4 linked regions of the Saccharomyces cerevisiae S288C genome follow. Each later gene encodes a partner of the first gene's protein in a complex. Each region holds a gene or a part of one and is shown in the gene's direction. Other genes may lie near its edges.

Region 1 (4,907 bases):
TAGATGCAATCAAGAAATTCGACGAATTGGAATACAGAACTTTGGCCAATTTGCCCATTCCAACAGCTACAATCCCCTGTGATTGTGGTTTAACAAATGAAATACAAAGTTTCAATGTCGTATTGCCCACTAACAGTAATGTTACTTCATCAGCATCCTCTTCAACTGTATCGTCCATATCCCTTGATTCATCGAATGCATCTAAAAGGCCATGCTTACCCTCTGTAAATAACACCGGTAGTATCAATACCAATAACGTAAGGAAACCGAAAAGCCAGTGTAAGAATAAAGACACACTCTTAAAAAGAACCACCATGCAGAACTTTCTCACAACTAAATCAAGGCTGCGTAAGACCGGTACGCCAACATCTTCGCAACACTCATCTACAGCATTTTCAGGATATATTGATGATCCTTTCAATTTGAATGAAATCTTGCCACTGCCGGCATCCGATTTCAAGCTAAACACTGTAACAAATTTGAACGAAATTGACTTTACGAACATTTTTACCAAATCGCCGCATCCACATAGCGGGTCTACCCATCCAAGACAAGTCTTCGACCAATTGGACGATTGTTCCTCTATACTCTTCTCTCCATTAACTACAAACACGAATAATGAATTTGAAGGAGAGTCAGATGATTTTGTTCATTCTCCATATTTGAACTCAGAGGCAGATTTCAGCCAAATTCTTAGTAGTGCTCCCCCAGTCCATCATGACCCAAATGAAACACATCAGGAAAACCAGGATATTATTGATAGATTTGCTAATAGTTCCCAAGAACATAATGAGTATATTCTACAATATTTGACGCACTCCGATGCTGCTAACCACAATAACATCGGCGTTCCAAACAACAATTCACATTCGCTAAATACTCAGCATAACGTTTCTGATCTGGGCAACTCACTTTTAAGACAAGAAGCTTTAGTTGGCAGCTCTTCAACAAAAATCTTCGACGAATTGAAATTTGTACAAAATGGCCCACACGGTTCTCAACATCCTATAGATTTTCAACATGTTGACCATCGTCATCTCAGCTCTAATGAACCTCAAGTACGATCACATCAATATGGTCCGCAACAGCAGCCACCGCAGCAATTGCAATATCACCAAAATCAGCCCCACGACGGCCATAACCACGAACAGCACCAAACAGTACAAAAGGATATGCAAACGCATGAATCGCTAGAAATAATGGGAAACACATTATTGGAAGAGTTCAAAGACATTAAAATGGTGAACGGCGAGTTGAAGTATGTGAAGCCAGAAGATTAGCATATAGATGAAATCAAACTTAGACGTATCTCTCGTCCATTTTCATTACATTTTCATCTTTCTTCATTAATTATATACTGAACATATACGCATCTATACAATTTTGACTTTTTAAAGAAGAAAAAGAAAACAATAGTATACATTCTTTTTTCTACTTTTGTTACAGATAAAAAATCGTTCTTATTATATTACATATATCGGTGCTAAGATCAGGATTTTTTCATGTTCCTTCCCCCTGTTATTTCACATCATCCTTTTGCCGGTAGATTAGGCTGGTGTAAATAGTAGTGCTTTTCTCATACATACAAGACATACGTGAAGATAAGTCCCATTTTCTCTCCCTCTGTCATTAATTTTGAAAGTTCGTTGAGCACTCATGAAAACTGCGTCCTTTTGTTTTTTTGATCTGAAGTAAATATGTGTGAGCAAGATAAGCACACAAAGAATAAAACCATCGAAGTATCCTTTCTTCTTTGTTGTGATTGAAAAAACACATTTTCCCGAGAGTGACATTTGGGACATTCTCTATCAGATCTCGGAAGAGTGGGATCGGAACCAATATCTTGCACCACTCCCGCAGTTTCACCAATGTTGGTAATCAATTCATGCCTGTAGACCAATGGACTGCCCGCTTCTTCTACATACGAGCATGTTCTGCATTCAAATAACAACCGGTTATTTTCTTTATCCTCACGAGGGTACAACATATTGTTGCAGTCACGACAAAATCTAAACGTAGTCATAGCAGTTTTAAGGGGAGTTTAACTTGCTCTTTTGGCTAGATTTTGTAACTTTCGTTCTACCTAGAATCTGCTCTTGTTCCATTTGACTTACTCTTTAACGCTATTCACCAAAACAAAATTTTTCAACTTACCCGCCCTATGTCTTGAAGTCCAATAAAACAACTCAAACTAATGGCAAACAAGAACTCGGTAAGTTCTGGAAGGAACAGGACAAGCAGCCCGTCAGCAGCAAACACAGTCAATTAAATAAGCGCCCAGTATGTCCTTACGTATACTAGCGAAGAGATCTTCTTCTATCTGGATGAAAACGCGCGTTACACCAGCGCTAATTTCTCCTATTACTATCACAACCCGTTTCAATTCTACGACTACAACAGCACCATCACATAAGGATGATGTAAGGCCAGTTGATCCTAAAATTTCTAAAATTGTACAGGACATTTCACAATTGACTCTTTTGGAAACTTCCAGTTTAATCAACGAGCTGAAAACCGTATTGAACATTCCAGAAATTTCCATGCCTATGGGCGGATTCATGGCAGGCGCTGCAGGCGCAGGTGCTGGTAATGTACCTAGCTCCACTGGTGAAGCTGGTAGTGGTGCTGAAGAAGAAGCTAAGCCTGAGGCAAAGACCGTGTTTACGGTGAAGTTGGACTCGTTCGACACGAAGACTAAGGCTAAAGTCATCAAGGAAGTCAAGGGATTATTGGGGCTTTCATTAGTTGAAGCTAAGAAATTCGTTGAAGCTGCACCAAAGGTCTTGAAAGAAAATGTCGCCAAGGATGATGCTGAAAAGATTAAGAAAACCTTGGAAGACTTAGGAGCTAAGGTCAGTTTAGAATGATTTTAAAACTGTAGCAATCTACCAATCGTGTTAATCAAAATAGTCTGTTTTCTCTTCGAGAAAATAAGGAATATATCATGTAAATATGTTTAACTCTTTATTCTTCTTTCGTCCTGCCTTTTATATATTTTGCCACATCGCTTCTTGCAAGTAGATGTATAAAAATGATTGATTTCCTTATTATTTTCTATAGTATCTTCAACTTCATTATGGCATTCGTTTTCGTGTTATAAGTATTTCAGACGGGCTAATCTATCACTTCATAAATCTACTTTTCCAACTTACAAAAGCGGTTGCTTTTCTTCGAAATATAAAGCCCACCAACCATAAGAATAAAGAACAAGAGCAGGAGCGAAACGAAAGAGAAGATAAAGATTGTACCTTTTTGCTCCTGATTTTTTTTTGATTACGCTACGGTTAGTTGAGAGAATGTCCACTGCTGTGACTTTTTTTGGCCAGCATGTCTTGAACAGAGTTTCGTTCTTAAGATGTTCGAAAGAGTTCATCAAAAAATCATTGAACCATGACTCTACCGTTTTTATCCCATTTATCGAAGGGGAAGCCCTCATTTCGCCCGAAAATGGTGACCTAGTTCAGCTTTCTAATTCTGTAAAGTCTTACAAGAATATTTTGTCAGCAATAGTTCCTTTATACACTACTTTATTGAACACAACTCGCTCAAGAAGCGATGAATCAGGCATCAATGTAACATTTTTAGGTCTCCTGGAAGGCACAGATTCTGCATTTAATTTTGAATGGTCTAATATTTCTTACAAAGGAACACCATATTTTGGATTAGATATCCGTGTTACTGAGAGCACACTCTTCAAGAAAGTCGACTTTGAGCCTATTTTTTCCTATCCGAAGGTGACCAGAGATCACATTTTCAAACAAACAAATGAGGATGCTTCACTTTATTCACAAGGTAAGATGTATCTGGATTGGCTAGCAAAGTACAAATTCTGTCCCGGTTGTGGGTCTCCGTTATTCCCAGTAGAGGCAGGAACTAAGCTTCAGTGTTCTAATGAAAATCGGAATGTATACTGTAATGTGAGAGATGCAAGAATTAATAACGTTTGCTTCCCAAGAACTGATCCAACGGTCATTATAGCCTTGACCAATTCGGATTACTCTAAGTGTTGTCTGGCAAGATCAAAAAAAAGGTACGGTGATTTTGTATTGTATTCAACAATAGCAGGTTTTATGGAGCCATCAGAAACCATAGAGGAGGCTTGTATCAGAGAAATATGGGAGGAAACAGGCATTTCATGCAAAAATATTGATATAGTCCGGTCACAGCCCTGGCCTTACCCTTGCAGTTTGATGATTGGCTGTTTAGGCATAGTTCAATTCAATTCCAAAAATGAGGTTATCAACCTGAATCATGACGACGAATTATTGGATGCTCAATGGTTTGATACAACTGAAATCATTCAAGCTTTGGATAAGTACGCCGGCGGGTATCGTGTTCCATTCAAAAATGATATCAATTTACCTGGAAGTACTACCATTGCCTTCCAATTAATCAATCATGTTTGCGAGAACTATAAAAACTTACGTAAGACCTCATCGAGCCATCTATAGTTTTTAATATAATAAACATTGATAAATAGGCGTGCTTCAGCATATGGATATTTTTCACTCAGTTACCCGAAGAAAACAGAGGTGCGTCATAATGCAAATGCTAAATGAATGAATATAGGATGTTAGATTGCTGGTACAAGCAATTTTGAAACAAAAATCATTACGAACAGAAGAAAGTGGAGCTGAAGAGCGTATATAGTTGTTCATAGCTGTAAAATAATTTCTAAATTACTATTTAGAACCTTTTTGATATCCAGCATCGCTCATTAGAGATTAATTTACCAAAACGGAATAAACCAAAAAAATAAGAATAGTGAACACACAAGAGAAGCGCAAAAGAGTAAAGAGCTAAAATGAGGTCAGGCGATGCAGAGATTAAAGGAATTAAGCCCAAAGTTATTGAGGAATATTCTTTATCTCAGGGAAGTGGTCCTTCCAACGATTCATGGAAAAGTT
Region 2 (5,594 bases), on another chromosome or scaffold:
TGCAATTTAATAGCGAGGAAGTGAATTGAATGCTTTTGTCCTTAGGCATTTGAGTACACCAGTAGACAAGAAACATGTTTATGTCCTGTTTACCGCCGCTCGTGTACAAGTCCGAAGAAAATAAAGCTGCCAAAAGACGTAAAAGAAGCAGTCTATTGGCAAAAAGATGCCACTGATGATGCATATTCAGTAGTGAGCGGTACTTGTTGGAATTAGTCAAGATGCCGATTTCCCACAATTCGCTTGGGTGGGCGGTCACGGCAGTTGTGAAATTATCTTGGAAAGCCAGTTTCAAGATCGCCAACAGTAGTCTTTCTCCCAGTGGGATGTTTTGCAAGGGAAGACCCTCAATTTCATGTTGCGTGGCCCAAAAGACATCGTAATGGTCCTGCGTGCTAGACTTGACCCGGTCAAAATAAATAGGTATGAGGATGGAAAGGGTCTTTATGGCGTTGATAAGCCGCGAAGAATGAAGTCCCGTACGGGAAGCGGGCAAGGAGTTCGCGGAAAGAATAATGTAGAGCGAAAGGAAGACAATCAAGTTGTTGAAGTTGGGTGGGTTCAAACTAGAGATAATGTGCAGGATTTTTTTAAAACTAGAGTTAATGCTGAAGTCCTGCACGTCCACTGATATGAAGTCCAAGTAAAAATCGTTGAAGACGGTATCTAGCGGGACATTTGGTTTGTCGCTGAACAACGCTTCAACGTCAGGCCCAGAATCCAGCTTAAAAATTGACAGGTTTAAACTCAACGGATCAGCATCAACTGAAAGGGAGGGCGAGGGCGACGACGTACGTGAAGGGGAGGACGCATCTGCGTCCTCCGGTCGAACCAGAGCGATGCAGTGGTTCAGCAGGATCGAACTGGATTTGGAGTCAGTATTTCCCATTATGCATAGCCTAAGGGAGAATTTTTATGGTTTGATTTGTGTGTATTTCTTTCTCTATTAGCTTTTTCTCTGATTTGTTTGCTTATCTACCTGTACGTGTATGTTGTGTACTCAATAAATAGAGGTCTTTTTTTTTTTTTTTCTCCATAGGTTTACCCGAAAGAAAAAACACCGAAATTAAGCACGTAAACCGGCGGAAAAGCAAGGAAAAACCCCCTGAAGCCAAAGCAACTGCGATAGTTTTTATTATTTGTTATATCCTCTATAAAAAATGTGCGAACAAGAGAAAAGACTATATAAAGAATCTATAAAAGAGAAAGTAAAGTAGGAAAAAGAGAGAAAAAAAGAGAGAGATAAAAAAAATTGTGCAAGTCTGTTAAAGTCTTCTCTTGGATCCATTAACCATTGTTTCGTGCTCCGCGGCAGGTTCCGCGACGTCCCATTTCTCGAGCGAGGACGCCTCGGTCGACATTGTTCTCTGGTTTATCAGCATAGGTGGTAGCGAGTTAGCAGTGGGCAAGGGCGACCTTGTAAATTGCGGAACAATAACGCTCGAGTAATCTCTAATGACACCCGGCTGTAGTGAAGCGTCCGAGGTGCTCGGCGTCCTCGATGCATAACCCTGGTCGACCCGCTGTCTGATTCGCATACCCACAGTCATCAACTGGTCCTTGTGGAAATCCTGTTGCTGCTGCTGCTGCTGCTCCTGTTGTTGTTGTTGTTGTTGAAGCTGTCTCTTTGGGACGAGGCTGCTTGCCCATTCCAGTTGTGCGTCCATTAAGTCTTGTTTGTTCCTGTATTAGTGTGTGATGTAAAGCGTGCGTTTCTTGATCTGGGTTCTCTTGCTGTTTCTTTTTCTTTGTTTTCTTCTCCAATCCTTGCCTGTTGCTACTAGATAAATAAATACCCCACTGGCGGGAAAAAGAAAAAGCACACACACAAACAAACGAGAAGAAAAAAGCGCGTGGTACGAGCCGCGCTAATGAGGAATAGAACCCATGCACCACACGCAAATGTGCGCACGGACAAATTCTGCCCTCTGTTAACGGCAGGACCTGGCGTCCCCTGCCGTTAGCGGCGCTAGCCGACGCCGTAGTCGCGTGCCCTTGCCCTTAGCGGCTGACTGGCTGACTCGATTGCATATATAAATTGCGGCCACCATACGTTGAGTCTTGTTGTTATATGGCGGTTGTTCGTATTACAGCAAAGGATACTACACCACAAGACACCACAGCAGCACAGAACCACAACACCAATGTCCGAAGCTACCCTCTCCTCCAAGCAAACCATTGAATGGGAAAACAAATACTCCGCCCACAACTACCACCCCTTGCCCGTCGTTTTTCACAAGGCTAAGGGCGCACATGTGTGGGACCCGGAGGGTAAGCTGTACCTCGACTTCCTGAGCGCTTATTCTGCCGTCAACCAGGGCCATTGCCATCCTCACATCATCAAGGCTTTGACGGAGCAAGCACAAACACTAACATTGTCCTCCAGAGCGTTCCACAACGATGTTTACGCGCAATTCGCCAAGTTCGTGACCGAATTCTTCGGGTTCGAAACCGTTTTGCCCATGAACACCGGTGCAGAAGCCGTGGAAACTGCTTTGAAGTTGGCCAGAAGATGGGGGTACATGAAGAAGAACATCCCTCAAGATAAAGCCATCATTCTGGGTGCCGAGGGTAACTTCCACGGGAGAACCTTCGGTGCTATCAGTTTGAGTACCGACTACGAGGACTCCAAGTTGCATTTCGGGCCTTTCGTGCCTAACGTTGCCAGTGGTCACTCCGTGCACAAGATCAGATACGGCCACGCAGAAGATTTCGTCCCTATCTTGGAATCTCCTGAAGGTAAGAACGTTGCCGCCATCATTCTAGAGCCAATTCAGGGTGAAGCCGGTATCGTCGTGCCCCCCGCAGACTACTTCCCAAAGGTCTCCGCATTATGCCGTAAGCACAACGTCCTATTGATCGTTGACGAAATTCAAACCGGTATCGGTAGAACCGGTGAGTTGCTTTGCTACGACCACTACAAGGCAGAGGCCAAGCCTGATATTGTTTTGTTAGGTAAGGCTCTCTCAGGTGGTGTTCTTCCCGTCTCATGTGTTCTGTCTTCTCACGACATCATGTCTTGCTTTACCCCAGGATCTCACGGTTCTACTTTCGGCGGTAATCCTTTGGCTTCCCGCGTTGCCATCGCCGCCCTCGAGGTCATCCGCGACGAGAAGCTGTGCCAAAGAGCCGCCCAACTGGGTAGCTCTTTCATCGCCCAATTGAAAGCTCTCCAAGCCAAATCTAACGGTATAATCTCTGAGGTGCGTGGTATGGGACTGCTTACCGCCATCGTAATCGACCCATCCAAGGCCAATGGTAAGACCGCTTGGGACTTGTGTCTATTGATGAAGGATCACGGCCTCTTGGCTAAGCCCACCCACGACCACATCATCAGATTGGCTCCTCCTTTGGTCATCTCCGAAGAGGACTTGCAAACCGGTGTCGAAACCATTGCCAAGTGTATCGATCTGTTATAATATTAATACGCATTTTTTTTATGTTTTCTCGTTTCTTTTCTTTTTTTTGTTTTATATCTTACACATTTTTAATATACTAAAAGTAAAATAAAAAAATACGTACTGTTTCCCTTTGTTTTCTCCTCCTCTTTGCTTATATCTCCACTGCGCCATCGTCATCTTCAGAGGGCGTGCTGATTAGAGTCACTGTGTCTCCTCTGATGAACACCATTTCACATCGTCTTTCGGACTCACTCAACTCCTCGTTGTTTAATTGGTATATGGTCTCTACTGCATCACTCAGCACGATGTTGCAGTGTGAGTCGAACGCTTGCAGTGTGCCCACCAGCGTCCTGGCCCCGCGCAGCTTGATGTACACCCTCTCATCGAGATTGAGTTTCAATAAATCCAAAGGTGTCTCCATTTTCTTGAGTGTGCGTGATGTTGTGTGTGTGTGTGTATTTATCTGCGTGTCTCTCCCCTGTTGTATTGGTTGCTAGAATGGATGGAAACATCCTGCCTCTTGTTTGTTCAAACCTCAGCTTTCTTGCTTTTTTTCTTCTTTCAATATCGCGACCTATCACACAGCACGGATAGCCAAAAGGGCGCATCAGGAAGAAGAAAAAATATCATTTCAGCAAACTAAAAGAATTGCCCTGAAAGCTATCGAGCCCTGGTAAGAGAGTACCATTCTATCTCTGCGGCTAGAAAAAAATACCATAAAAATATAATAAAAATGTGGAAGAGATCGTTCCACTCCCAAGGAGGGCCCCTGCGTGCCAGAACAAAGTTTACCAAACCAAAGCCAAAACAACCGGTGCTTCCCAAAGACAAAATAAGACCGCCCACTCAATTGACTCATCACTCCAACAACCTGAGGATTACCGAACCAATCCCACCAACAACCTCAAACCTGCGCTGTCCCGACGACCACCCGCTGTGGCAGTTCTTCTCCAACAAGAAATTCATCAGGTCCGCCGACGACTTGCCGCCTTCCAGCCATATCAGACCCTGGAGCATCCCAGAGTTGAGGCACAAGTCCTTTAACGACTTGCATTCCCTTTGGTACAACTGCCTCAGGGAGCAAAATGTGCTTGCTCGCGAAAACCATCTCTTGAAAAACATTGTTGGCTCCACGCATGACGAATTCAGTGAGCTCTCTAACTCTATCAGAACCACCATGTGGCAAATAAGACATGTACTTAACGAAAGAGAGCTGGCCTATAGCGCTTCACGCGAATTTTTACAGGATGAATCGGAGAGGAAAAAGTTCTTGGATACTTTGGCCAACGATTACTTCTTGAACAAGGATATCCCTGATGACGAAGTCGCCTCCATGCTCACACGATTCCAGTTGGCCATTTTCGGCATATCGGAAACCATCCAGGATAATACAGTCGACATTAACTTCATCGACGGGATCAAGTTCTTGGCAAACTTAAAACTACAGCGGTTCAAGGACTCCAATGACCTCATATCCGAAATATCACAAGAACCGATCACAGACGTGGGCGAGTCGTTCATCTTATTCACTTCCGACTTCGAACCTCATGCCGTTCAAGAGGCTTGTGTCGCCATCAAAGACCTGAGAAAGTCCCCAGATAATAAAGTCCCTAAATTAGACGAACTCCCCACCGTGAGAAAATACTTGAAACAGCTAATTCATGCAAGCTCCGTGGAGCAAGCAACTGCATGATTCCCGTGGGCTTCCTACCCTCTCTCCTGTAAATATATATATATATATATATCCACACACACTCGCACATACATACACACATACATACACCTTTATATAGCTATACGCTGTATGTATTCAGAAATTAGTCACGTTGTGGAAAATCTCCCTAGCAATGCCGCCTACCTTACTCTTATTGTCGTTCTGTCCGTCCAGTGCGTACTTGTCTTTCACCAGGTCACGGGCGCTTAGCTCCAATTCTAGTGTGCTCCATTGCGATGTAACAATTTCGACTTCCTCAAGGGGGCAAACCTCCAGTAAGCGGCCCAAGATGCTCATCTGCAGAACAATTATCTCTGTGGGAATTTCATTATCCACCCAATTTGGATCGACAAACTTCCCCATTTGATAAAATGTTAACCAATGCTCATCGCCCAACGCCTTCATCATATGTTGGCCCGCTTCTTGACAAATTTCAAACACTTGCTTGCCCAATTCGTATGCTGTGCCAAAATCTAAAT
Region 3 (5,869 bases), on another chromosome or scaffold:
ATTGATAAACCTAGAGACATCAATCTTGCTATTTCCATATCCTTAACTTCATCAACTAAGGCGTCATCACCATTGTAAAGGTGGTCTTCCTTGCTTCCATAGTAATCCTCATCCGGTTTTTGGATCGTATCCGTTGTAGTTACTGTGCCCATACCAAATAGTTGATTGAAGTCGTCATCGGTATTGGCAAGAGCCGAGGGAGGTGTGTTGTTGGCAGTATTAGATTTAGTGGTGCTATTAGTTGGGACCAAAGGAGGTGCAGAAAAATCTACCTTCGGTGACGGTATCAGCGGAGGAGCTGAAATTGAATGCAGACTATCATTGGGGCTTTTATCCGTCCTTGCAACATCTGCAACAGCGGAACCAGTAATGGAAGGCGAATTGCTGCTCTGAGGAGTTGTTTCCTTGGATGCAGATGCAGAGTCCTTATTCTTCAAAGAAGTCAGTAAATGTGCAAATGGATCTGACATTGATGTTGACTGTTTCTTGCAGGCTGCGTCCTTTCCAGAAGCACAGGAATAGGTTAAGCGATGTGCTGTTATTTTTTTCTCCTTTTCGCAGGAAACAGTGATCTTAAATGAATATATTAGAAACGGTATAGCATATATATATGTGTATATGAGTATGCGTATATAGAAAATTGGTGAATTAAAGAGGTGGCTTCTTGTTATTGGTCGCTTCCAGGTTGAATTGGACGCTACTATGGTAGTTATCACAAATTGCGCCCATGATTTCTAGATTTTTGTTCCGATTATTAATGGTCACAAGCTCCTGGTTAAGAATTGCCACGCTCTCATTGAGCCTTTTGACATTACCAATTATTCGCGAAAGTATGTTAGCCTGCACTTGTTCATGAGGGTTCTCCATGTTATGCTTTCTTTCCTAAACTCACTTCTTTTCCTCCCTATCTGCTTTTGTTTATTACAGTTGAAGGCTACTTGTGCCGTTCGTGTGAAAAAATACTCGATGAAAAAAAAAAAAAAAAGATGATGACGATGACTTTGTTGAAGAAATGTGTTTGAAGACAGTGGAGGATAACAGCACTCTCATCGCACTTTTGGAAGCGTATCATGAAAAGCGATTCAGTTGAAATCACTACCATCTGCCCAGATGTTGAAAATTCTCAGTTTGTTGTGCAAAGCAACTGTCCAGAGACTATTCCAGAGATTCTAAAGTCTCAAAATGCCGCTGTGAATGGCAGCGGCATCGCTTGCCAACAACGTAGCTTACCAAGAATCAAAATCTTGGGTACCGGTGGTACTATTGCATCGAAAGCTATAGACTCCTCTCAAACTGCCGGCTATCATGTTGACCTGACCATCCAAGATCTATTGGATGCCATTCCAGATATATCCAAGGTCTGTGACATTGAATATGAGCAACTATGCAACGTGGATTCTAAAGACATAAACGAGGATATTCTTTATAAAATTTATAAGGGCGTCTCAGAATCGTTGCAGGCTTTTGACGGTATAGTTATTACCCATGGGACTGATACGCTATCTGAAACTGCATTCTTTATTGAAAGTACTATTGATGCTGGCGACGTTCCTATTGTTTTTGTTGGTTCGATGCGTCCTTCAACCAGCGTTTCTGCTGATGGCCCTATGAACCTTTACCAAGCAATTTGCATTGCTTCAAATCCAAAATCTAGAGGAAGAGGTGTTCTTGTTTCCTTGAATGACCAAATTTCCTCTGGTTACTACATTACTAAGACGAATGCAAATAGTTTGGATTCTTTTAATGTTAGACAAGGCTATTTAGGAAATTTTGTCAACAATGAAATTCACTACTATTATCCTCCTGTGAAACCGCAAGGTTGCCACAAATTCAAACTGAGAGTGGACGGTAAGCATTTTAAATTACCAGAGGTTTGCATTTTATATGCTCACCAAGCCTTTCCGCCAGCTATAGTCAACTTAGTGGCAGATAAGTATGATGGTATTGTTCTTGCTACCATGGGTGCTGGTTCATTGCCGGAGGAGGTCAATGAAACCTGCATGAAATTGAGTTTGCCGATCGTATATTCCAAGAGATCGATGGATGGTATGGTGCCTATTGCCAACGTACCAAAGAAAGGTTCAAAGGAGGATAATCTCATCGCATCTGGTTATCTAAGCCCTGAAAAGAGCAGAATCTTGTTACAATTATGTTTGGCAGGTAACTACACGTTGGAAGAAATTAAACATGTTTTCACTGGCGTCTATGGTGGGTGAAAATTTTGTAATTTTTTGCATTTGTGTCGATATATATATATATATACATAGACACAGAGATAGAGATATAATTATGCAAGTCCCTGTTAATGCTAGTCTGAGATGAGTACAGGAATTCTTCATTTAGATTGTCTCGGCTATGTCACTTTTCTATCGTTTCACCTGCACATGGCTTTGTCTTGAATACTGAAGCCGTTATTATAGTTCTATCTTCATGTTTTTAGAGGTTTTTTTTAAATGAGTTTATTAAAATTAAATTTTGAATGTTATTTTTGAATAAAAATATAAAAAAAATAATATTAATAATTTTTCATTAACTGCTCATGATATCAGTGCATTAGAAAATCTTTTGGTTCCACTTTTCCTATAAAAATAATTCAAGTTTTATCATTATATCATTTTTAAATATTTGATTATCATCGCCCGCTGGTCACCGCATTTTTAAAGAATAAATATTACTTTTTTCGAAATCTGGTGTTTAAATATTTTTAAGAAAGTTAAAAAATAAGGAATATTTGATAAACAAAAAAAAATTAGCCTTTATATATCCATTTTTGTTTATGTATTCCTTTTTTTATTTTCTTATGTGTTTGGGATTTACTGTCGCAGTCTTTTCAAATTTTCCGGGCTAAACCGGAAGCCGGAAGGTCTGGGATAAGACAACAGTATCCAATACAATATCAGACTACAGCAAAAAGCTTATTCAGAGATCTTTACAGAAATCAAGGTCACTGCCGAACTATGTTACGAAGATCTATTCATACCACTAAAATCCTCCAAAAACCTAATGCTACTTCGCATATTTGGTCGGACTTTACCACAAGGCCTAGTTCACTTTCTATCCAATCTTCAAAAGTGAAAAATTACCTTTTCCAGAAGAAAGCTTCTCTAGACCCACCATCTATCAGCAGAAGAAGTAACCGTATCAAATATTCACCTCCAGAACACATTGATGAGATTTTCAGGATGAGTTATGATTTTCTTGAGCAAAGATCCAGTAAGTTTTATGAGTTGGCCAATAAGACTAAAAATCCCTTGAAGAAGGATGCACTTCTCATAAAAGCAGAGATCAATAATCCTGAGGTACAATACAATTTTCAGTTTAATAACAAGTTGAACAATGTTAAGGATATAATAGATTATGATGTGCCAGTGTACAGACATTTGGGGAAACAACATTGGGAATCGTACGGCCAGATGTTATTGATGCAAAGGTTAGAAACGTTGGCTGCCATTCCTGATACTCTTCCAACTCTGGTTCCACGGGCAGAAGTGAATATCAAATTTCCCTTCTCTACTGGTGTAAATAAGTGGATCGAACCTGGTGAATTTCTATCGTCCAATGTCACATCCATGCGTCCCATTTTCAAAATTCAAGAATATGAACTTGTGAACGTTGAAAAACAATTGTATACGGTACTGATAGTCAATCCTGATGTTCCAGATTTGAGTAATGACTCATTTAAAACGGCTTTGTGTTACGGATTGGTGAATATTAATTTGACTTATAATGACAATTTAATAGATCCAAGAAAGTTCCACAGTTCTAATATTATCGCTGACTACTTACCTCCGGTACCTGAAAAGAATGCTGGAAAACAGAGATTCGTTGTTTGGGTATTCAGACAACCCTTAATCGAGGATAAGCAAGGTCCTAACATGTTAGAGATTGACCGAAAGGAACTAAGTAGAGATGATTTTGATATCAGGCAATTTACGAAGAAATACAATCTAACCGCTATTGGGGCACATATCTGGAGAAGCGAATGGGATGCCAAAGTCGCCGCCGTCAGAGAAAAATATGGCCTACCACCTGGAAGGGTTTTTAGCAGAGTTAGAAGGTGATCCTAAATAGTATGACATTATAGTATCCTGTACATATAAAATAACGTGTCATTGTTAATAAAGCTTGATGCAAATAATATAAAGTAAGAATCTGAAAAATTTTTGGAATGTGAATTTTGTTTACAATACGATACGTATGATATTAGTATGTTCTAGAATATATACATTTCATTTTTTTCCTTATTGTTTGTGCACTAACGAATGAAGAAAAAAATATGGAACATCTAGCGAACGAGAATCCATCATAACTTCGTCATTCAGTGCGAGCTAATGTGCATTTTTAGTATCCTATTTATGTTGAAGCTTCTATTTATGTTGAAGCTTCCTTCAGGGATTCAACGGCGTTAAGAATAACTCTTTCAAAATCTATATTAGGATCTTCCAAATTAAATGAGGCGTTCGCAGGCACATCTTTAGGAGTTACTACAGGGTGTAGCTTGGCGTATTCCTTCTTTGCCTCCTCTACCAGCTTCAATTTCTCCTCGTACTGTGCCTGCTCCTCTTTCTTCTTAGCATTACACTTCAAAATCATATCATTTCTAAAACCAAAAAATAGCCCCAAACCCAACGCAGAGTATCTCAAAACATTAACTGTCGACATCCTTTAACTCACTCAGCTAGTTCCTATATACGTTATGTTCCGATATAATACTTCCTTTTATCTAAAATTTCTGTGTGAAAAGTCAAAAAAACTAAAGAAAAATTTATACCCTTAAATAGATCTGATTGGCTCCGCGGACCAATTAGCGTGGAGATTCCGCGAATGATCGAATAATAAAGATATGTCTTAATTAAACCCATGGTCACCCAGCTTCGATTGAACGGTATGTATTCTTGAGTGCAATTCTTCTAAGTTCTTATTAAGTGTGACGATCTCCTCCAATCTACGCTGCTTCTTATAGTCCTGAATTGTGGACTCAATAAGGTAGCTTTGTTCCTTTAGGACCATCAATTCTTCTCTCAGCTCTTTCACTTCTTTTATGGTCAAGTTTTCGATCATTAGTTGCGATAATTTCTTTACCTCTGGTTCAGCTTTTTGCCCATCTTCATTCGTTTTATGGCCCTCTGGGTTCAAAATTGCCGGAAGCGACTTCAACGGTAGGATTTTTTCGTTTATGTATGCAGCGGAAGCTATCTTGATCGAATTTTGAAGTTGTCTCTCTAGATGACTTTGAGGTTCTACACTTAAGAGCTGTCTTGTTAGTGTATTATACAAGTTAAAAGAATTGAGTAATTTATGTCTTAATCGAGCGAGATCATTCAGATTCTTTGGATCAAGTGTATTTTCAGAATCCTTGGCAGTCTCCACCTTCAGGCTATTCAATGAGTCTTCAAAAATGGGCAGGAGACTATCAATTACTTTGGATATATTTTGCATGCTATCATATTTAGCAAATATTCCACTTAGCGGCATTCTAACGTCCTTGTTAAATTTCCTGCCAATAAATAGCATATCGATACAGTGCGAGCACAATCTTATGGATATAGGAATATGAAGTAAATCATCCTTCTGTATATTGTATTCGAATGGCAGATCTGACGCTGCAGACATTAAATAACCTATGCTTATTTCGTTTGAGCAGTTCCTGTTTGCATCATCACAAACAACCATACCACATAATCTGCAGTGATGCTTCCTTAGTAATAGCCCAAATGGTTCGGAACATATGTTACAAAAGAGTACACTTCTATCATCTCTCCATGGAGTAACTGTACGTTCTAACTTGGACATTTCACTATTCATCTTCAAATTATGAATAATGGATCTAGAATATGTGTTATAGAGTGTAATCAGACCATCAACTAGA
Region 4 (5,572 bases), on another chromosome or scaffold:
CTACTGGTCCTACTACGATATCTTCTGCATTTGATCGGGACCGAAGCGATATTAGACGCTAAGGAACAGTTAGAAATGTTACATGCGATTGAGAAAAATGATTCAGGGAGGCGACAGTGGGCCAAGGCGCTTAACTTAGGAAATGATCCGCCTTTATTGTATCCCATAGTCTCCCAAATGTTTGGCGTTCATGATAAAAGTGTAATTATAGAATAAGTAACTAATTTTTCTATTTTTTCTGGATAAGTATAATGAGTAAGAAAGGAAACAGAGTCAATGTTAAAAAATATAAATAATTCCAAGTCAAAGATGATAGCCCTTTGGTATCAAAGCATAAACATTGCGCGCAATGTATGTATGGCCAAGGAGCTACATAAAACGCTTCGCTCTTAATTAGTAAATATAATAATATTTTTTTATTTAATTATACATTAAAGAATAAACAAAAATTAAAAAAGAAAAGGCAAATATTTTGAATAGTAAATTATTTTAAATAGCTTTCTAATTTAATTTTAAACTCTCTTTCTGTAACGTCTGTCTCTTTGGGCAGAAACGTTGATAACAGATAATGGCAACTTCAAACCCAAAGATTTAACCAAGTCAGAAGTTTGGTTGTCAACGTTCAAAACACCGTTAGAACGAGACAAGTCCAAAGCAGAGACTTCTGGGACGTATTGGTCCTTTCTTTCTCTTTCTTCTTCTTGCAATTTGAAAGAGATACCTCTAACTGGACCCTTTTGGATTCTCTTCATCAAATGGGTGGTGTAACCAGCAATCTTGTTTCTCAATCTCTTGGATTGGATAGTGGCGATTTCATCACAAAGTCTCTTGTTGGTTTGGAAATCCAAAGTCAACTTTGGATAGTAACGTTCAATCAAAGCCTTAGAAGCACGCTTGACGGTCTTGGTTCTAACTCTACCCTATTAAAATGACGAAAAGCAATACAAAATAAAAAGTTTGTAAATGCAATTCAACTTGTTAGTATACTGATATCAAAAACACATTATAATGTGTAGAGGCAGTTCATGGCGCCATATTATCCCTTGTTCAACTATGCAAAAAGAAGATCCACAAGAGACTGAATCTCCGGTGATACTGCTATAGGCATTTTAACTCCCAATTTTTTGGAAAGCCACTGCAACTATAGCCAAAACATGAGTATCATTTCAATCACACCACTTTTTCGGTATCGCAGTTCCATATCGTCTGAAAATATCGTCATATGTTTTCTTTAACTTATTTATTGTATGACTTTATTGCGCATGTCGACTCAATATTACGTGTCCTTAAAAGCCTCCTTTAGTCCATATTAACATACCATTTTGTTATTGCTAGTCTCGAGATCTTGACTTTTCTTAGAATTAAGTCGATTAATGCTTGATTAATACCTAATTTCATACATATTACGCTAATATGCCAGTAAAAGCGATCACGACGATAGCTACAGCATGAAAGATTGGCTTAGGAAGCACCATTCCGTTGCCCACAGCAAGCCGGCTGAGCCCAGGCGCTGTTGCACGTACCCAACAAACCTCGTCTCTGCCATTGGTCTATTGTCCTCCTGGACAGGCCGCCTCCTGTGGCAAAGCAGATTCCCAAACGGGGCCAAAAAATTAAGTAGAACTCCCAGTTTTTTGGAAAATAAAAAATAGAATGTACGGATGTAATGCACGGATGTTAAACCGGAAAAAAGGTTACTGGGTCACCCTGGGATACCAAGAATGAGTCTCAAAAAGTTCGAAATAGAAAAGTATAATACAGAGGTTCCATTAATAATGGGGGAGATACATTCAAAGGACGCCAATGCGAATAATCTTTCGTTCAACTAGGGTGAAATAATAATAATGACGATAAAAAGAAATTTGGTGAAAGTACGTATCAGAGGATCGTCCCTCGCTCTTTTTCCATTTGGTTGTCGATTTTCTGAAGATGAATCCGTATACTAACATTACAACCATTTTATGCAATAGACTTTACAATCTATACGCTACCAAGCTACCACTGCCACCGCACATGCAGAATCCACGTTAAACCCTCTGCCAAACGCAGCCATTCCTCCCAAATACGCCTTAGTTACCGTTCGCTCCTTTCCATCATTAGAACCATTGACATTTGTGCCGGTCCCCACATCAACTGTAGCTGCTCCATTAAGGCGTGATATACTATGGAGAGCCGTAGTTTATGAAAACGATAATAGAAGAGTAGGCGCCTCAAATCCTCCCGGGAGAAGTGAAAACGGGTTTTCCAGACGTAAATTGATGCCCCAAAAGGGTTCTGGTAGGGCAAGAGTCGGGGATGCTAACTCTCCAACAAGACATAATGGTGGTAGGGCATTGGCAAGAACTGCACCAAACGACTATACTACAGAGCTACCATCCAAGGTTTATTCCATGGCTTTCAACAACGCTTTGAGCCACCAATATAAAAGTGGAAAGTTGTTTGTTATTGGTGGTGAAAAGGTCGACTTAATATCTCCCACACCAGAACTCGACTTGAACAGGCTGGATCTTGTGAATACAAACACAGTTGAGGGCAAAGAGATTTTTGAGGGCGAAGTCATCTTCAGAAAATTCTTGGAGGAATTTCAACTTAAAGGTAAGAGATTACTTTTCATTACAGACAAGACTAGGGAAGGGCTGATAAAGAGTTCTGATCCATACAAACAAAAAGTAGATGTTATACAGAAAGAACTTGTTGAGGTAAATGACATACTAAGAGCCCAAGCTGTTTTTATCGAATTGGAAGCTCTTGAATATCTAGCAATGGCCCATCAGAAAGAAATCCTTCACTCCGTGTCTAACTGATTTTCATATGTACACATACAAGTGACCCCTTCTTCTACCCCATCCAGTTATTATTCCATCTACATATTTAAAAAATAATCTGTAAATAATAAGCCCATGAAATATCAATCTCACAATGAAAGAATTGTATAATTCAGAATGATTTGACGTAAAAGCAAGTCTCATTCAAGAAACTGTAAAATCCGTACACACTACTGAATTTTACATCCATACATTTTTTTGAAATTTCATGTTTTTTTGAAAAATTGGAAAAGGGCTAAATTATCCGTCGGGGTGTCCTCCTAGCTCGGCTCAACCTAGGCAAATGCGTTTACTGGGGCCATCCAAGCTCATCCTTCCAGAGATTCGCCTTTCAGAGGCAAAGAACTCGTCTCCGCAGGCCTCTTGTTCCGGGAGGAGGAGAATTCTTGCGCGGAAACTGGTTGATGCCTGGGCTATGGTAATTCTGACACCTTTGCTATCCTAACTGGAAAAGGTCCTTAGTAATAACAATATCAGGTACTTTAACATTGTTAAAGATATACTATTAGTGAAAAACCGATCTTACGAAAAGCCAATAGAGCAGAAAGTGGTAAAGATGTCTTTAGTTGTACAAGAACAAGGTTCCTTCCAACACATTTTACGGTATGTTTTACGAGTACAGTGCAGATATGTTGAGAGAGTTTCACATTACATGGGATAATAGCTTAATATTGCGATTGAAAATATGTGAGTGCACTCCGATGGAATAATAAACGTCACGGGTTACCAAATACGAGGCCGAATTAACTCTACGCTACTATAAAAATTATCACTAGATTTTAAAGTAATACACAGTTTATTGGAAAATACAATATATGACTCAATGCGAATTTAAAAATTTCAGTCAATACAGCTTGACAAATTCATATTTATCGTCCCTCCATGTTCGTACGCCATTCCAAAATGATGCGCCATGTTGAAAATTTCTCGAAGAACCTAGCAGTGGTGTGAAATAAATTACTAACAATAAGATGTACAATTTTTTGTGCGCCCATTACAATCAGTTTGTTGAACACCAATGTCGATGGTAACATTAAAATTGTTTACGCTTTGACCACTATTAAGGGTGTTGGTCGTCGTTACTCCAACTTGGTCTGTAAGAAGGCTGATGTTGATTTGCACAAGAGAGCTGGTGAATTGACCCAAGAAGAATTGGAAAGAATTGTCCAAATCATGCAAAACCCAACTCATTACAAGATCCCAGCCTGGTTCTTAAACCGTCAAAACGACATTACTGATGGTAAGGACTACCACACTTTGGCTAACAACGTCGAATCCAAGTTGAGAGATGACTTGGAAAGATTAAAGAAGATCAGAGCCCACCGTGGTATTAGACACTTCTGGGGTTTACGTGTTAGAGGTCAACACACCAAGACCACTGGTAGAAGAAGAGCTTAAATCAATTAAGGAAATTATCAGTAATAATTGTACGCTATTTTCGTTTTTATTATCTTTATTTTCTTTTTTTATTCTTCAAAGGAGAAAGTACTACACGTGTTTTCAGACCAATGTGTGTTTAATCAACTTTTTATTCTATGTATAACATATAAGCAAAAAAAGATATAATATAATTAAGTTTTATACGGTAAACATCGTTAACATCACTCAACCGGGGTGAGAAAGTACCATCGATGGAACTGCACTTTATTTTGACTACATGTAAAGTTAAAAGAGGTGTTATAGAAGTCTTTTAAAAAACGTAAGGTAATTAGAAAACAATTGTATATTTTATGATATATGCTAGGACTGAAGTGAACAATGATATGTATGAATGCCGTATAGGGAAATGAATTTGCGAATAAATAATGACTAGAGATTAGATCAACCACGGAAAGCGTTCGGATCAAGATCCTTCAACGGTTGTTGATCGACGATCTTGAATCCGAATTTTCTCTTCCTTTTAGGGGAGCCGGAGGGATTGCTTACCGGACGCTTGGCTTTGGATGGAGAATGATCTATGCTATTGATCAATTTATTTACTCTGCTGTTGGGAGACGTTTTCACGGGAGTCAACGTCTTCTTTTGTGGGTTTAGATGGAATGTTAAAGCCTGGCTTCTCTTTATGCTTGGTGTGGATGAGCGCCTATTTAGGGAATGATGAGGCCTTGGCGGCGTATTTTCCAGCGGTGAAGAAGAGGAAGAACGAGAACATGAGCTTCCATCACGAAGTATGTCCGCCTTGACTCTGGATGCTAGTGGCGTAGCATGAACGTCCAGAGGCGGAGATGGTGGAGATACCGTTTGTATTATAGTGGTTGACTTCGAAGTGGCGATTCTCTGCCTTTTAACCGCTTGTCTTTTATTCTGGAACCATATTTGAACGGCTTTTTCAGTCATATGGCAAGATTCAGCTAACTCAATTCGTTTCTCCTTCGATGGAGCAGGACATTTTTCAAATTCAGCCTGAAGAATAGATAGTTCCTGGGACGAGGTTCTTCTTCTCTTTCGGCGTGCTAGTGGAGCGTTGTCGATCTTAGGCTCCTTCTTAGGGAAGGTCTCCTGCGAGTGTGTGATGAAAGCAAATGCACGTCTTTTTTCCTTAGAGGCAGAGGGGATAATAATCGACTTCGCTGCAGAGAGTGGTGTTAATATGTCGTTTTTCTTTGAAGAAACCGAATAATCTCTCTTTTTGCTATTTAGGGGAGTCAGTAGAAGGTTTTCGTGTGATTCATCAACTGTTTCTTGAGAACTATTCAACTGAGATGAGAGGGCTGAGTCTGATTGCGTGTGCTTGAGCATGTCATCAC

Evidence for each region.
Region 2: MNP1 (region 1) and MRPL4 share a complex: the UniProt entries of both Saccharomyces cerevisiae proteins name them as parts of the mitochondrial large ribosomal subunit.
Region 3: MNP1 (region 1) and MRPL35 share a complex: the UniProt entries of both Saccharomyces cerevisiae proteins name them as parts of the mitochondrial large ribosomal subunit.
Region 4: MNP1 (region 1) and YML6 share a complex: the UniProt entries of both Saccharomyces cerevisiae proteins name them as parts of the mitochondrial large ribosomal subunit.

What each region holds. Positions count from the first base shown.
Region 1 is NC_001139.9:372,805-377,711, forward strand, and holds MNP1 (mitochondrial 54S ribosomal protein bL12m MNP1), read left to right. Parts: upstream 1-2,282; coding exon 2,283-2,867; downstream 2,868-4,907. Other genes in the region: DNA-binding transcription factor AFT1, read left to right, coding at 1-1,280; DNA-directed RNA polymerase II core subunit RPB9, read right to left, coding at 1,655-2,023; NPY1 (NAD(+) diphosphatase), read left to right, coding at 3,297-4,451; deubiquitination module subunit SGF73, read left to right, coding at 4,805-4,907. UniProt on the Saccharomyces cerevisiae protein: Component of the mitochondrial ribosome (mitoribosome), a dedicated translation machinery responsible for the synthesis of mitochondrial genome-encoded proteins, including at least some of the essential transmembrane subunits of the mitochondrial respiratory chain.
Region 2 is NC_001144.5:1,010,357-1,015,950, forward strand, and holds MRPL4 (mitochondrial 54S ribosomal protein uL29m MRPL4), read left to right. Parts: upstream 1-4,134; coding exon 4,135-5,094; downstream 5,095-5,594. Other genes in the region: ECM30 (Ecm30p), read right to left, coding at 1-889; DIF1 (Dif1p), read right to left, coding at 1,266-1,667; CAR2 (ornithine-oxo-acid transaminase), read left to right, coding at 2,145-3,419; U4/U6-U5 snRNP complex subunit LSM3, read right to left, coding at 3,553-3,822; SEC39 (Sec39p), read right to left, coding at 5,212-5,594. UniProt on the Saccharomyces cerevisiae protein: Component of the mitochondrial ribosome (mitoribosome), a dedicated translation machinery responsible for the synthesis of mitochondrial genome-encoded proteins, including at least some of the essential transmembrane subunits of the mitochondrial respiratory chain.
Region 3 is NC_001136.10:1,107,632-1,113,500, forward strand, and holds MRPL35 (mitochondrial 54S ribosomal protein mL38 MRPL35), read left to right. Parts: upstream 1-2,957; coding exon 2,958-4,061; downstream 4,062-5,869. Other genes in the region: auxilin-like protein SWA2, read right to left, coding at 1-470; DAD4 (Dad4p), read right to left, coding at 649-867; asparaginase ASP1, read left to right, coding at 1,071-2,216; TIM11 (F1F0 ATP synthase subunit e), read right to left, coding at 4,372-4,662; PEP7 (phosphatidylinositol-3-phosphate binding protein), read right to left, coding at 4,849-5,869. UniProt on the Saccharomyces cerevisiae protein: Component of the mitochondrial ribosome (mitoribosome), a dedicated translation machinery responsible for the synthesis of mitochondrial genome-encoded proteins, including at least some of the essential transmembrane subunits of the mitochondrial respiratory chain.
Region 4 is NC_001145.3:221,638-227,209, reverse strand, and holds YML6 (mitochondrial 54S ribosomal protein uL4m YML6), read left to right. Parts: upstream 1-1,844; coding exon 1,845-1,871; intron 1,872-1,970; coding exon 1,971-2,804; downstream 2,805-5,572. Other genes in the region: Smc5-Smc6 complex subunit NSE5, read left to right, coding at 1-216; 40S ribosomal protein eS17 RPS17A, read right to left, coding at 513-920, 1,319-1,321; 40S ribosomal protein uS13 RPS18B, read left to right, coding at 3,382-3,428, 3,830-4,223; YOX1 (Yox1p), read right to left, coding at 4,647-5,572. UniProt on the Saccharomyces cerevisiae protein: Component of the mitochondrial ribosome (mitoribosome), a dedicated translation machinery responsible for the synthesis of mitochondrial genome-encoded proteins, including at least some of the essential transmembrane subunits of the mitochondrial respiratory chain.